Saccharomyces cerevisiae S288C: one gene and its partners. The protein of the gene in region 1 binds, or shares a complex with, the protein of each later gene. Each region holds a gene or a part of one and is shown in the gene's direction. Other genes may lie near its edges. The genes, in order: MRP4, RSM10, MRPS8 and MRP10.

Evidence for each region.
Region 2: MRP4 (region 1) and RSM10 share a complex: the UniProt entries of both Saccharomyces cerevisiae proteins name them as parts of the mitochondrial small ribosomal subunit.
Region 3: MRP4 (region 1) and MRPS8 share a complex: the UniProt entries of both Saccharomyces cerevisiae proteins name them as parts of the mitochondrial small ribosomal subunit.
Region 4: MRP4 (region 1) and MRP10 share a complex: the UniProt entries of both Saccharomyces cerevisiae proteins name them as parts of the mitochondrial small ribosomal subunit.

What each region holds. Positions count from the first base shown.
Region 1 is NC_001140.6:97,444-100,903, forward strand, and holds MRP4 (mitochondrial 37S ribosomal protein uS2m MRP4), read left to right. Parts: upstream 1-1,775; coding exon 1,776-2,960; downstream 2,961-3,460. Other genes in the region: mitogen-activated protein kinase kinase kinase kinase STE20, read right to left, coding at 1-494; SHU1 (Shu1p), read right to left, coding at 900-1,352; YHL005C (uncharacterized protein), read right to left, coding at 1,385-1,777; sphingosine N-acyltransferase LAG1, read right to left, coding at 3,205-3,460. UniProt on the Saccharomyces cerevisiae protein: Component of the mitochondrial ribosome (mitoribosome), a dedicated translation machinery responsible for the synthesis of mitochondrial genome-encoded proteins, including at least some of the essential transmembrane subunits of the mitochondrial respiratory chain.
Region 2 is NC_001136.10:537,762-540,921, forward strand, and holds RSM10 (mitochondrial 37S ribosomal protein uS10m RSM10), read left to right. Parts: upstream 1-2,041; coding exon 2,042-2,653; downstream 2,654-3,160. Other genes in the region: Na(+)/Li(+)-exporting P-type ATPase ENA1, read right to left, coding at 1-706; YDR042C (uncharacterized protein), read right to left, coding at 2,840-3,160. UniProt on the Saccharomyces cerevisiae protein: Component of the mitochondrial ribosome (mitoribosome), a dedicated translation machinery responsible for the synthesis of mitochondrial genome-encoded proteins, including at least some of the essential transmembrane subunits of the mitochondrial respiratory chain.
Region 3 is NC_001145.3:570,619-573,292, forward strand, and holds MRPS8 (mitochondrial 37S ribosomal protein uS8m MRPS8), read left to right. Parts: upstream 1-1,629; coding exon 1,630-2,097; downstream 2,098-2,674. Other genes in the region: TPP1 (polynucleotide 3'-phosphatase), read right to left, coding at 1-398; AIM36 (Aim36p), read right to left, coding at 659-1,426; YMR158C-A (uncharacterized protein), read right to left, coding at 2,576-2,674. UniProt on the Saccharomyces cerevisiae protein: Component of the mitochondrial ribosome (mitoribosome), a dedicated translation machinery responsible for the synthesis of mitochondrial genome-encoded proteins, including at least some of the essential transmembrane subunits of the mitochondrial respiratory chain.
Region 4 is NC_001136.10:370,549-373,112, forward strand, and holds MRP10 (mitochondrial 37S ribosomal protein mS37 MRP10), read left to right. Parts: upstream 1-1,699; coding exon 1,700-1,987; downstream 1,988-2,564. Other genes in the region: type 2A-related serine/threonine-protein phosphatase SIT4, read left to right, coding at 1-158; NPC2 (sterol transporter), read left to right, coding at 692-1,213; FAD1 (FMN adenylyltransferase), read right to left, coding at 2,140-2,564. UniProt on the Saccharomyces cerevisiae protein: Component of the mitochondrial ribosome (mitoribosome), a dedicated translation machinery responsible for the synthesis of mitochondrial genome-encoded proteins, including at least some of the essential transmembrane subunits of the mitochondrial respiratory chain.

The sequences.
Region 1 (3,460 bases):
GACAGTTTTGATAGTAAAGTGTCATTAAACTGGTGATCTGACTCGGACGCATTTATGGTAGAAAATGTGTTGTCAGCAGAATGATCCGGGGTTATATTGCTGGTATTTATGTTTGGAGTGACTGCTTCTAGAGATTTGGTTTCATCGATGTTAGAATGAGGACTCATGGATGAAGACATTCCACTGATGACAGAGGAGGAAGATACTCGGGTAAATTGAATAGGATCATCTAGTGAAACGACATTATTGTCATCATCATTGGTTGTCTCCGCGTTCTTCGCAGGATCCATGGATTTGTATCCACCAGCTTCATGGGCAGCATTAGTGCCTTTTTGTAAGGCATTGACGTTCAAAGTTCCAGTGGTCCTTGGTAATCGTAATCCATCGCCGCCATCGCCATTGCCGCCCATGGCCCTTTCATTGTCATTGCTGATACCGTTATCAAGACTGTCCTTGTCTGGTAGTTCCGATACAGCAGATGGATCATTGCTCATTTCTTGTATTAGTCGAGGATCTTGTGGGATATTTAGGATGGGGTGTGAGGCAGTGAAGGGAAGAAGTTTGGGTTGCTTGCTACCTCGCTCTAATTGTACGTACGGATGTATGTCTTTAAGAAAGTATGTAAGTGTGTGTAGTATGTGAGTATCTATGTAAGCATGCGTTGCTAATGCGAATTTACGGATGCCTCTTTTTGGTTTCGTATTTTTCCTCTCTGGCCAGGTGACTTTCTGAATTTTTCAGCTGCCAAAAGCGGTAGACTTTCGAATTCCCTCTCTTGGCCGTGTTTCGGGCCACGAGGCGAAAATTTTTTTTTTTTAATCGAAAAAAAAAGGAAAAAAAGATTAACGTTTCTTTTTCGTTCTATCGTCTTCTACGATATCGCATGTAACACAATGCAGCTATCTGATAATATGGTCCCAGAATCGCAATAGCCGGGCAGGCACGCTACTAGAAGGCGGTTCTGGATAGAATTCAACTTTAGATGGCAGACTGAGGCACTGCCGTAACACAAGGCTAAGTAGCCGCAGCTGTTGCGGTCCATCTTGTGTCGCGGTGAGATCCCACAATCCATAGACGAGTACATTAGAGTATTGCGGACCATTCGCCTGCGCTTGCATCCGGGTGAGGTACATGTATAAGTACTTTACCCGGCCCAAAAAAACTACGGATACCCGCTCCCGGCTTGCCACGTGACCTGCCACAGTGTTCGTAGTCACGTGCTCCTTCAGTCCTCCTAACTCTACGTACTTCCTGGCAGTGTCTCCAAGGACTATCACCAGTACGTTTGGGCTTGACTGATCCAGGCTCCAATCGCTTTCTACTAGCTGTTGCAACCGCTCTTCAAACTGCATATTGTATCCTGCTGCTGCTGTTGTTGCACCCGTTATTGCACCTGAGCATTAATATATGCGTATATGTATCTATCTATGTATATGTGTATGTGTAATATGTATACGTTTATGTTAATGCATAAACTGTAATGAAACGAATACTCACCCGCTTGCTCTCTCTCACGTATAACACACGCATACTGCCCTATTTTCCTGTTTATCTCGGTAAGAAAAGGCCGTGCCGGGTCAGAAAAGAGTGCAAGAAAAAAATCAATTCGGTAAGTGAATCCGAGAGATGAAATTTGTATGTCGTAGGTCACTGCTATATTTGATGGTAAATAATAATCAGTTCTGGCAAGTGTACATACGCTCGAGAGCCTGATTATCGCGGGGCACAAATACAGGTGATTCGAGAAATAAAAAGTGAGAAACGACTCTTTTCTCATGCAGAGACACGTTTTTGCGAGGAATTTCAGACGTCTTTCCTTATTGAGGAACCCTTCCCTTACCAAAAGGTTTCAGTCGTCAGCATCCGGTGCGGCCAACACCCCTAACAATAACGATGAGGTGATGCTGTTGCAACAGAAACTTTTGTATGATGAAATTAGATCAGAATTGAAGTCTCTATCTCAGGTACCAGAAGATGAAATATTACCTGAGTTGAAAAAGTCATTAGAGCAAGACAAACTCTCTGACAAAGAACAGCAGCTGGAGGCTGAATTGAGTGACTTTTTCAGAAATTATGCTCTGTTGAACAAGTTGTTTGACAGCAAGACATTAGATGGACAATCTTCTACAACGACAGCAGCAGCCACGCCAACCAAGCCTTACCCTAACCTTATACCTTCGGCCAATGACAAACCATATTCCTCTCAAGAACTTTTCTTGCGTCAACTAAACCATTCCATGCGTACCGCTAAATTGGGTGCCACTATTTCGAAGGTTTACTATCCTCATAAGGACATTTTCTATCCGCCCCTCCCAGAAAACATTACTGTTGAGAGCTTAATGTCTGCTGGTGTTCACTTGGGCCAGTCTACCTCACTTTGGAGGTCTTCCACACAATCCTACATATACGGTGAATATAAAGGTATTCACATAATAGATCTAAACCAAACTTTGTCCTATTTGAAGAGAGCCGCCAAGGTAGTAGAGGGCGTTTCGGAATCCGGTGGCATTATCCTATTTCTGGGTACAAGACAAGGCCAGAAAAGAGGGCTCGAGGAAGCTGCTAAGAAGACACATGGTTATTATGTGTCTACCAGATGGATCCCGGGTACTTTGACGAATTCTACAGAAATTTCAGGTATCTGGGAGAAGCAGGAAATCGACTCTAATGACAATCCCACCGAAAGAGCGTTATCACCGAATGAAACATCAAAGCAGGTTAAGCCTGACTTGCTGGTCGTATTAAATCCCACAGAAAATAGAAACGCTTTGTTAGAAGCAATTAAATCAAGGGTCCCAACTATCGCAATCATCGATACTGACTCCGAACCTTCTTTGGTGACCTACCCTATCCCAGGTAACGATGATTCATTGAGATCTGTCAATTTCTTACTAGGAGTCTTGGCGAGAGCTGGCCAAAGAGGCTTGCAAAATCGCTTGGCCAGAAATAACGAAAAATGAACACTTTTATTTTCTTTTGGCTTGTTAACCTAAACTTGTACATATGCCCATATATCCTTAAATATATATATATAGCCAACCCGAAGACGCTAAATAAACGCATTTTTTTTTTTTTTTACAGAATTATTACTTTCGTACTTGGGTTTATGCTTCTTATAACAACAACTATGAGCTATACCATGTTAACTTGGCCTTCATACAGGGGGGAAATCATATGATGATACGTATTCTCCTTAAGATACGTTTATTCACACTTTTCCTTAGATTCTTCATTTTCAGCGCTCTCATCAGAATCACTGTCACTTCTTTCGTCCTTTTGGATACCTTGCCATATCAATCTGTACAAGATTCTAAGAATTAAAAACAGCCAATACAGGTTAACTAATTGTAACGCAGCAATTAGTACAAATACAATTGGCAACGAAATCCAACATTTGTATTGTTGTGTGGCAAAATTCAACACATAATTACCTTCATGACGGAATTCTGTTAAGACTGAC
Region 2 (3,160 bases), on another chromosome or scaffold:
TTTTACCAATTTCACTATTCAAAGCTGTCTTGATGACAATACCCTTGGCTCTTCCCTTGACAACGGCGGATGAAGAAAATGCTAAATTCAAACGATCACCCACGGAGGTTTCTTCTTCTTTTCCAAACACTAAGTTGGCGTCTTTGGAGACAGGCAAAGATTCACCGGTCAGTAGTGATTCATCAGTATCAAAATTCTTAGTTTCAATTAAACGCAAATCAGCAGGAATAGTATCACCGACCTTCACCAGACAAATATCACCTGGAACCACATCTTTTGAGTTTATAGTCTCACTTTTCCCGTTCCTAATAACATGAGCATTGGGAGAGCTCAAGTTTTTCAAAGAGTTCATTGTCTTGGTAGCCTTATATTCTTGAACTAGGCCAATGAGCACATTGACCGCGATAACAAAAGAAATAACGCCACCAGTAATCCAATCATGCATGGCAAACGAGATTATCATGGATATTAGAAGGACCATGATCATGGCATTACATACCTGATGGAGGACCATTGCCTTGTAATCAATTTTAGTGTCATCACCCAATGTGTTCTCACCCACTGTTTTCAATCTGTGGACGAACTCATCTTGGGTCAAACCTTCAGTTAGACTTGTGCCTATGAATTCAGCGGCTTCTTCTGCAGTCAGCGTGTGATAAGCATTGAATTCTGCATTATTGTTTTCCTTAGTAGTTCCTTCGCCCATCGAAAATTTTCAATTCTGTGTACGAAGTTTTTTCTTTAATTAGTAAATATACGTATTGTTGCCTCAAATAAATGTGAATTAAGTGTGAACAGTTCACTTGATGAAGATATCTGCTTTATTAAAGTTAATATTAGAATATAAATGATTAGACTATTACTAATGAGAAAAGAAAGATAGGAGAAATAGTAGAAATTAATAGTACTCTAAAAAGAAAGAACGGAATAAGAGGAAAAGACCTTTTATCTATTCAAATTGTTTCCCTTAGGTATATATATATATATATATATATATATATATTTTCCCTGTATATATCTATGTAAATGACGAAAACGCATGACATTTTAAAACCTACCCCGGGTTTGACCACAACCCACCGTTCATCTAATATTAACCCGCACCCACCAAGGAAAGAGGCAATAATTCGGGAATACTGCTCTAAGACCTTGTTTTTTCTTCTGTCAGGTGAAAGTATATGACCAAAATCTACATCCCTGCCCTAACAAACGTCATAGAAGTAGGAAATAAATGATGAGCCCCGCAAAATGACGCCGCACGGCGATGTTTAAGACCCTGTACTCACAATGTAACCACTTCGTGCAGAAGCTTCTGGGAGGAAAGGGTCCGTACATGAATTATCACACCCACACCCCTCATTCAATCCTTCTACCGCGCATGGTAATCAATCATAACAGGAAGCGATAAGAAAGTTTACATTGCACAGCCACCCTCATTGCCTCTGTGATTGAAGATCTGGGAGTGGGGCTAAAGGTGCAACTTCCGTACAAGAGTGACGAGATAAAGGATTTTCCACGGAATGGCTGACAAAATTCGGGGCTTGTGTGAGTTCCACGTGCGGATGACTTAATAAGCTCAGTGATTGTACTTTTGACATGATTGATGAACGGCTAGAGATAGCCACCGAGTGGCTACTTAGTAATAACCAGCGTAGGAAACAATTACGGATTTTGTTATCGTTCACCGATAACCCTAAAATATTGACCACACTGGTAGTCATTAGAATTTAACCAAGAGGGTAGCTTAGTTCGACCGATAATCAATATTACTGAAGTCTTATCAAATTCTGACTCTTGCCATACCGTTTCTTATCGTCACTGTTTAATCCGGAAATTAGTCATGTATCCACACATCCTTTATTAACAGCAGAGAGATTGGGCAAGAATGTTAGCAAACTATGTACCAGGCGGGTAATACCTGTACATCTATTTTCTTTTGAAAAGGAAAAAATGCAAGAAAGGGCATGAAATGAAACTATTTGGTACAAATTAGAATTATGCGAACCGTGCAAAATCAGAAAAGGGGGAAAAACATTGGCCAATGCTTAGAAATACCATTGCATTAAGATCATTTATCAGAACACAGTCGACGCGCCCATATCCTGTAAATGTAGAGGCAGTCTACTATGCTCCTTTAAAGTTACCTATCAAATATGGTGATTTAGTTGCAGACATTCAGTTAAGATCGTATGACAATGAAAACCTCGATTTTTATTCAGACTTCATACTTAGAACAGGTTACTATTTGGGTATCCCATTGACAGGTCCTAAACCTTTGCCCACGAGAAGAGAAAGGTGGACTGTAATAAAATCACCTTTCGTGCACGCTAAATCCAAAGAGAATTTTGAAAGACATACACATAAGAGGCTCATTAGGGCCTGGGATACGAACCCCGAAGTGCTACAGATGTTGATAGCTTACATTACGAAGCACTCTATGGCAGGCGTCGGAATGAAATGTAACTTCTTTCAAAGGTCCGAAATATCGCTGGACTTGGGTTCGGACGCCAATGGCCTCGAAAAATCACTAAGCAATATCGATGAATTGTATTCTCTGAGAAACGATGATAAAGCTCAAACTAGTGCTGTCGGACAAAAAGTATTGGAACTATTGGATAGCCCCGATTTTAAAAAACATTTGGAAAAGAAGTAAAAAGATGATGGCAATCCTATAATTACGCTGGTTCTTGGGACCGAAAAGATTTCGTACTTGTAAATAAAATAGGTGAAGAAGAGGGGCAAAAAGTAGTAGATTAAATGGTTATACTGAATTTATAAGTAAGTTTAATTATATTTTTTAACTATATGATGAACAATTTTGTACTAATATTGCGGCCCGTTATGAGTATTGCTCTTGCCATAAAAGTGTGTTCACTGCTTTGTTTCCTGGTACTGCATACCGCTTAATATTGTTATCGCTCAATAAATTTAGTTTCTGGAAGCTTTCCAAGGACTTACCAGGTAGCGGGCCTGAGAATCTATTTTTTAGTCCATCGGCTACAAAAATCGGTAGTATATTTGTTCTTGGTAAGTAAGCTTTGCTAAAGGAAAGTGTCCTTTTTCTGTTTGTATTCTTCTTCGAATTCCACCTGAAATGTTGGACATTCAGGGATGTGTGTAACCGATACTTCTGGTCAGAGAGTTTGTATACAATATACTC
Region 3 (2,674 bases), on another chromosome or scaffold:
TATAGCCATAACCTGTGTGATAACGTTTCTCCTCTCTCATCGTTTTTGATTGCCTTTAAAAATAGCAAAATTTTATTAGTGTACTTGGTGCAACTTTTAGAAGTTCTTGGGACGGTGATGACACCACCTTGGTTAGAAAATATGACTATGACGGCCGTGGGATCATTATCAATGATATTACACAGGTAATCCAGGGTGGATTTCTTGGAGTTAAAATTAATAAACTGCCAATCACTTGCGCTTCTACTAAAACTTATATTGGGGGACTTTGGTTTGATAATTGTATGGTCCAGATCAAAGGCATAAACGTTTAGACCATGCTCGTCGTGATCAATGGATTGTGGAAACTTGGGCGTGAACTTAATCAGAAATGGCAGGATTGTTAATTTGTGGGACATGGGCTTTCCTTCGGTTCAGTTTTCTATGTTATCCATCTGATTTTGGGATGATTTTACAGATTAAAATCGATTTAAAGCCATACGCAAAAGAGGGGAAACGAAAGAAACGCACAGAATTCATTCACATAGATGAAGGGAACAGAAAATGAGAATGTTATATGACAGATAAGCAGCATATTCAGGACATATATCCAGATATATATACATATAAGCTATTAACAAGGAGAAGAAACCAAAAAAAAAAAAAAAAGAAAACATCCTCAGATGATATCAGCTTTACCTACAGTTTCGTAATATTTACAGACGTCAGAGCCACTCAATTTCCTCGGAACAAAGATTTTAGACACTATAGAAACCTCATTTTCAAATCTTGTTGCATCAGCAATCGAATGAGGAAAGTTCACAACTACTAGCTTGTCACCGGTCTTGAAGTTCTCTTTGAAATATCTACCCAAAAGCATGACCAACATACCGGTCGGCAAATTGTAAGCGTACGTGTCACACCCGTATTTTTTGTAGTATTCATTTAATAAAGCCTCATATCTATCATCCCTCAAGGTTCTGTAGTAATCGATGACCTTGACTGGATCGACAAACTGCAGCTCATTTATATCATCGCCTTGTGATTTCTGCAGTACCTTTCTAGTTTCTTCAATGCTGGGTGATAAGGAAAACTTTATATCGACCTCACCTTGTGGGAAGATAGCCACACGTCTTTTCAACCCTTTAACCACATTTTCGAATTCTTCTTCTGATAATGTTGTCTTCGGTTTGTTCTTATCTAAAGACTGTACTGTCTTGACAAATATCACTGTACCGATAATAGCAACAAGGAAAATTTTCTTAAATCCTGGAGCATCTATTTTATCTGATTTGTTAGACCTTTTAGTTGAGCTATCAGTTGATGAGTATCGTGCTCTCAAGAGCAATGGTGAAAATAAGGGTAATTGCTTTTGAGGCAACCCACCGCACACCTTGAAACAATGTCGGCAGCTTGCTAGAACGCTTTTTCTCAGTGGTCGCAACATGTAGGTAGTCTATTTATCTGGGCTCGTTATGTATTAATCTTCCTATGGGGATTCATTCATTTTAGCTTTACCGGCAGTCCTTACAAACCGCTTTTTGAAATTAAATCGACAAACTGAGGAAGAAGAACGGAAAAACAGAAGAAAGCCAAAGGCAAAGAAGCGACCACATACACCTTTTTTTCGATCTAAACTAATCGCCCAAAATGTCGTTGGTCAAACTTGCGAATACGTGTGCTCATTTACAGAACTGCTCGAAAGTTAGAGTTGCCTTAACATCGATCCCATATACGAAATTGCAGCTACAGTTTGCGTATAACCTTTACCAACAAGGGTTCTTATCGTCTTTACAGAAGGGATCGACTATGGGACCAGACAAAGATTTTGTTGAAGTAACACCAGACAATATCTCTACTAGAAGGCTTTGGGTTGGATTGAAGTATAGAGATAACAAACCTGTCCTCAGCAGCTGCAAATTAATTTCCAAACCAAATTCAAGAATACACCTGCCAATGGAAGACATGAAGAAACTATGCTCTGGCGTAACTATTAGAAACATCAAACCACTACAACCAGGAGAACTGATTCTAGTTCGAGCTCATAACAACATTATGGACATTAATGAAGCCATATCCAAAAAGTTGGATGGAGAAGTACTATGCAGAGTAAAATGAATAGAACAATCACATATGACCGTATTTATACGTGTAATTAAAAAATATACGGACCATGTAAATAATAATATTATAAAATGCAGACAATGATGATGAGTATAGTACTACAGTAACGTCCTTCATTCATTACCTTTACTAGCAGTGATAAAAAGTTTTGAAAAAAAATGTGCTCCAGGGGAGGTTCGAACTCTCGACCTTCAGATTATGAGACTGACGCTCTTCCTACTGAGCTACTGAAGCTGTCTGTTATGGAGGATTCTAGCATTAAATGCTTTAATACTCAATAAAAGCAACAATGGAGAATAATTTATCAGCAACTAAATTTATAGACGAAGATCCTACGCCAAATCTTAGCTCCTTTATATTTAATATTGAAAAACATATGAATTTTAGGTTGAATCCTCAAAATGGAATTGATATTTCTACATAATAGTACTACGATTATTCTTCACTCTGTTTTATATGTGTCATTATGTTATTACATTATCAATCCTTGCATTTCAGCTTCGTCTAACTTCCATGACAGTTTCTCATACCTTATGTCATCATCTAACACCGTACATGATAACATACTGGT
Region 4 (2,564 bases), on another chromosome or scaffold:
CGCCAAATTACTGTTATAGATGTGGTAATGTCGCGAGTGTAATGAAGGTCGATGAGGATCTGGAACCTACTTTCAAAATTTTCTCGGCTGTTCCCGATGACTACATAAGAGAATCCACGGCAAACCATAATAATCAAAGAGCCGGCTATTTCTTATAACACGACGGCATGCCCTCCCTAACTCGACGAATAAAAATAATTTTCACAATAAAAAAAAGACTACAAAAATCAGAAACTTTTTCATTACGCCATTTGCTACGATACGATACACAACAAGCACATTCTAAGAGCATTCCATTTACTATGGTCAAAATGACCAAATAAAAAATTAAAAAAAAAAAGAAGGAATGAGAACTAGTAACTACATATTCAACAATTGCAGTTTTCTTTTCCTTTTTGTCCTTGTCCTTTCTTTCCTATTTATATATATATATATATATATATATAATACTACTATGTTATATTACATTATATTATTATCACAATAATTATTACGTTCATCGTGCCGAAACGTCACCTCCCACGGTTTGGATCTATTGAAAGAGGGTGGAATCCCTGATAATAAAAAAACTTTAATCAACACTCGGGAGGGGAAATATAAAAGACTGGCGCTACTTAAAGAGCTGATTCGCCAAGGCAGAAAAGCATAACCATATTAAATCTTCTCCTTCAAAGCTAGCACGCCTTCCAAAATGACCCACAGCTTGAAAGCTCTATTCGCCTTGCTATTTCTTTACACAGCTGCTGTCAATGCGGGTGTGATTGGCATATTCAACGCCCTTCCCCCACCAAACACCAAACCAATTAACGGCGAATCTCCACTTTACCAATGTGACATTCTAGACAAGCAACTTGTGGAAATCAAAGAGGTCAATTTGGACCCTAACCCTCCTGTTCGTGGCGAAAATTTGACTATTTCTGCTAACGGTGAGGTCTTTGAAACTATAGAAGAGGGGGCATATATCGACGTTGAAGTCCGTCTAGGATACATCAGACTGTTATCCCAGACTTTTGATTTGTGTGAAACATTAGAAGATAACGATATCGAAGGCTTATCCTGTCCAATTGAACCGGGTGAATACAACATTAAGAAAATAGTTGAGATCCCAGGCGAGGTTCCACCTGGCAAATATGTTGTTGTAGCAAGAGCTTACACTGAAAAGGATGATCTGATCACTTGCTTAACCGGAGAAGTCATCTTCCCACCAAGGTGATCTGATTCATACAACTCATTGATCCGTGTTTATTTCCCTTCTCGTTCCATGTATTCTTTTCTTTTACCCCATGTTCTCTTCACCCGTTCGAGGCAGGGTTTTTCCTCTTTTTGTTATAACCACCATCTAGTCGAATGTGGTTACTCTTAATATTTTTTTGTCGGCCAATGCTTCAGCGCCTTTGTCAACACCTACTTCTTTTCCATTCCTTTCCTCTAATTAAAAATCATCTATTTAGTGTGTACGTATTAAAAACATGTCATTACATTGATATCTCATTGCAAAATTTCTCCCTTACGCACATCTTTGGTTATTATATATGATGACAGGTTCGTTCTCCGGGTAATGCGGACTTTACATATTAATTCTTTTCCCAGTATTTTAGGCAGAATATAAAAGCTTTGAGGCTTTAAGTGAGACAAAAGTCTTACCATAGCAACACGAGGGCTCGCCGAAACTTCCATCTAAAATAAAGAGTGCCCATTAATGTCCGGAAAACCACCAGTTTATAGATTACCCCCTCTTCCCAGACTAAAAGTGAAGAAACCTATCATTAGGCAAGAAGCGAACAAATGTCTTGTTTTAATGTCAAACTTATTACAATGCTGGTCTTCATATGGTCATATGAGCCCTAAATGTGCTGGCTTAGTAACGGAATTGAAAAGTTGCACTAGTGAAAGTGCCCTCGGCAAAAGAAACAACGTTCAAAAGAGCAATATTAACTATCACGCCGCTAGGCTGTATGATAGGATCAACGGTAAACCCCATGATTAATTTTATATCCAAAAGCAGCAAGAATGAAAACTTGATAATATTAAAGTCATGGCCTTGTATATACAAATTAAATAGTCTCAACGGAAAATATATAAACTTTTAATCTAATAGTAACATCAGCATTTTATTTTCTTTCCTCCGTTAAACCGTACTTAATTCTTGATCCTGCCTGCTCTCTCTAAAGTGTCATCAACCAAATACCAGCCAGGATAGTAATTGTCATGGTATTTGCTGAATCTTTCCTTATCCACCACGGAAATAGGTGACGTGTTTATAGCGGAACTACGTTCGCCTTCTGCGTCCTTGCCAAATGCATGAATGATTTCCCATTCAAAATGCAAGGCTGGATTATTGGAGTCCTTTCTCAAGTGTGGGTTAGGCAATGAGTTGTTAATTCCGCCGATTGATGTGAAACCTTTACCATATAGTCCACAAATTGGCTCATTAGAATACAGTAAGAAACTCCATATATTGGTTAAGTCCCAGTGTAAGAGAGGTTGCAACCTCATAAAATCAGGCCAGTTAGAATCTGTTCTTTGAATAGGCTTTAATGCTTCACCAAATGGGTCTGTGTGTC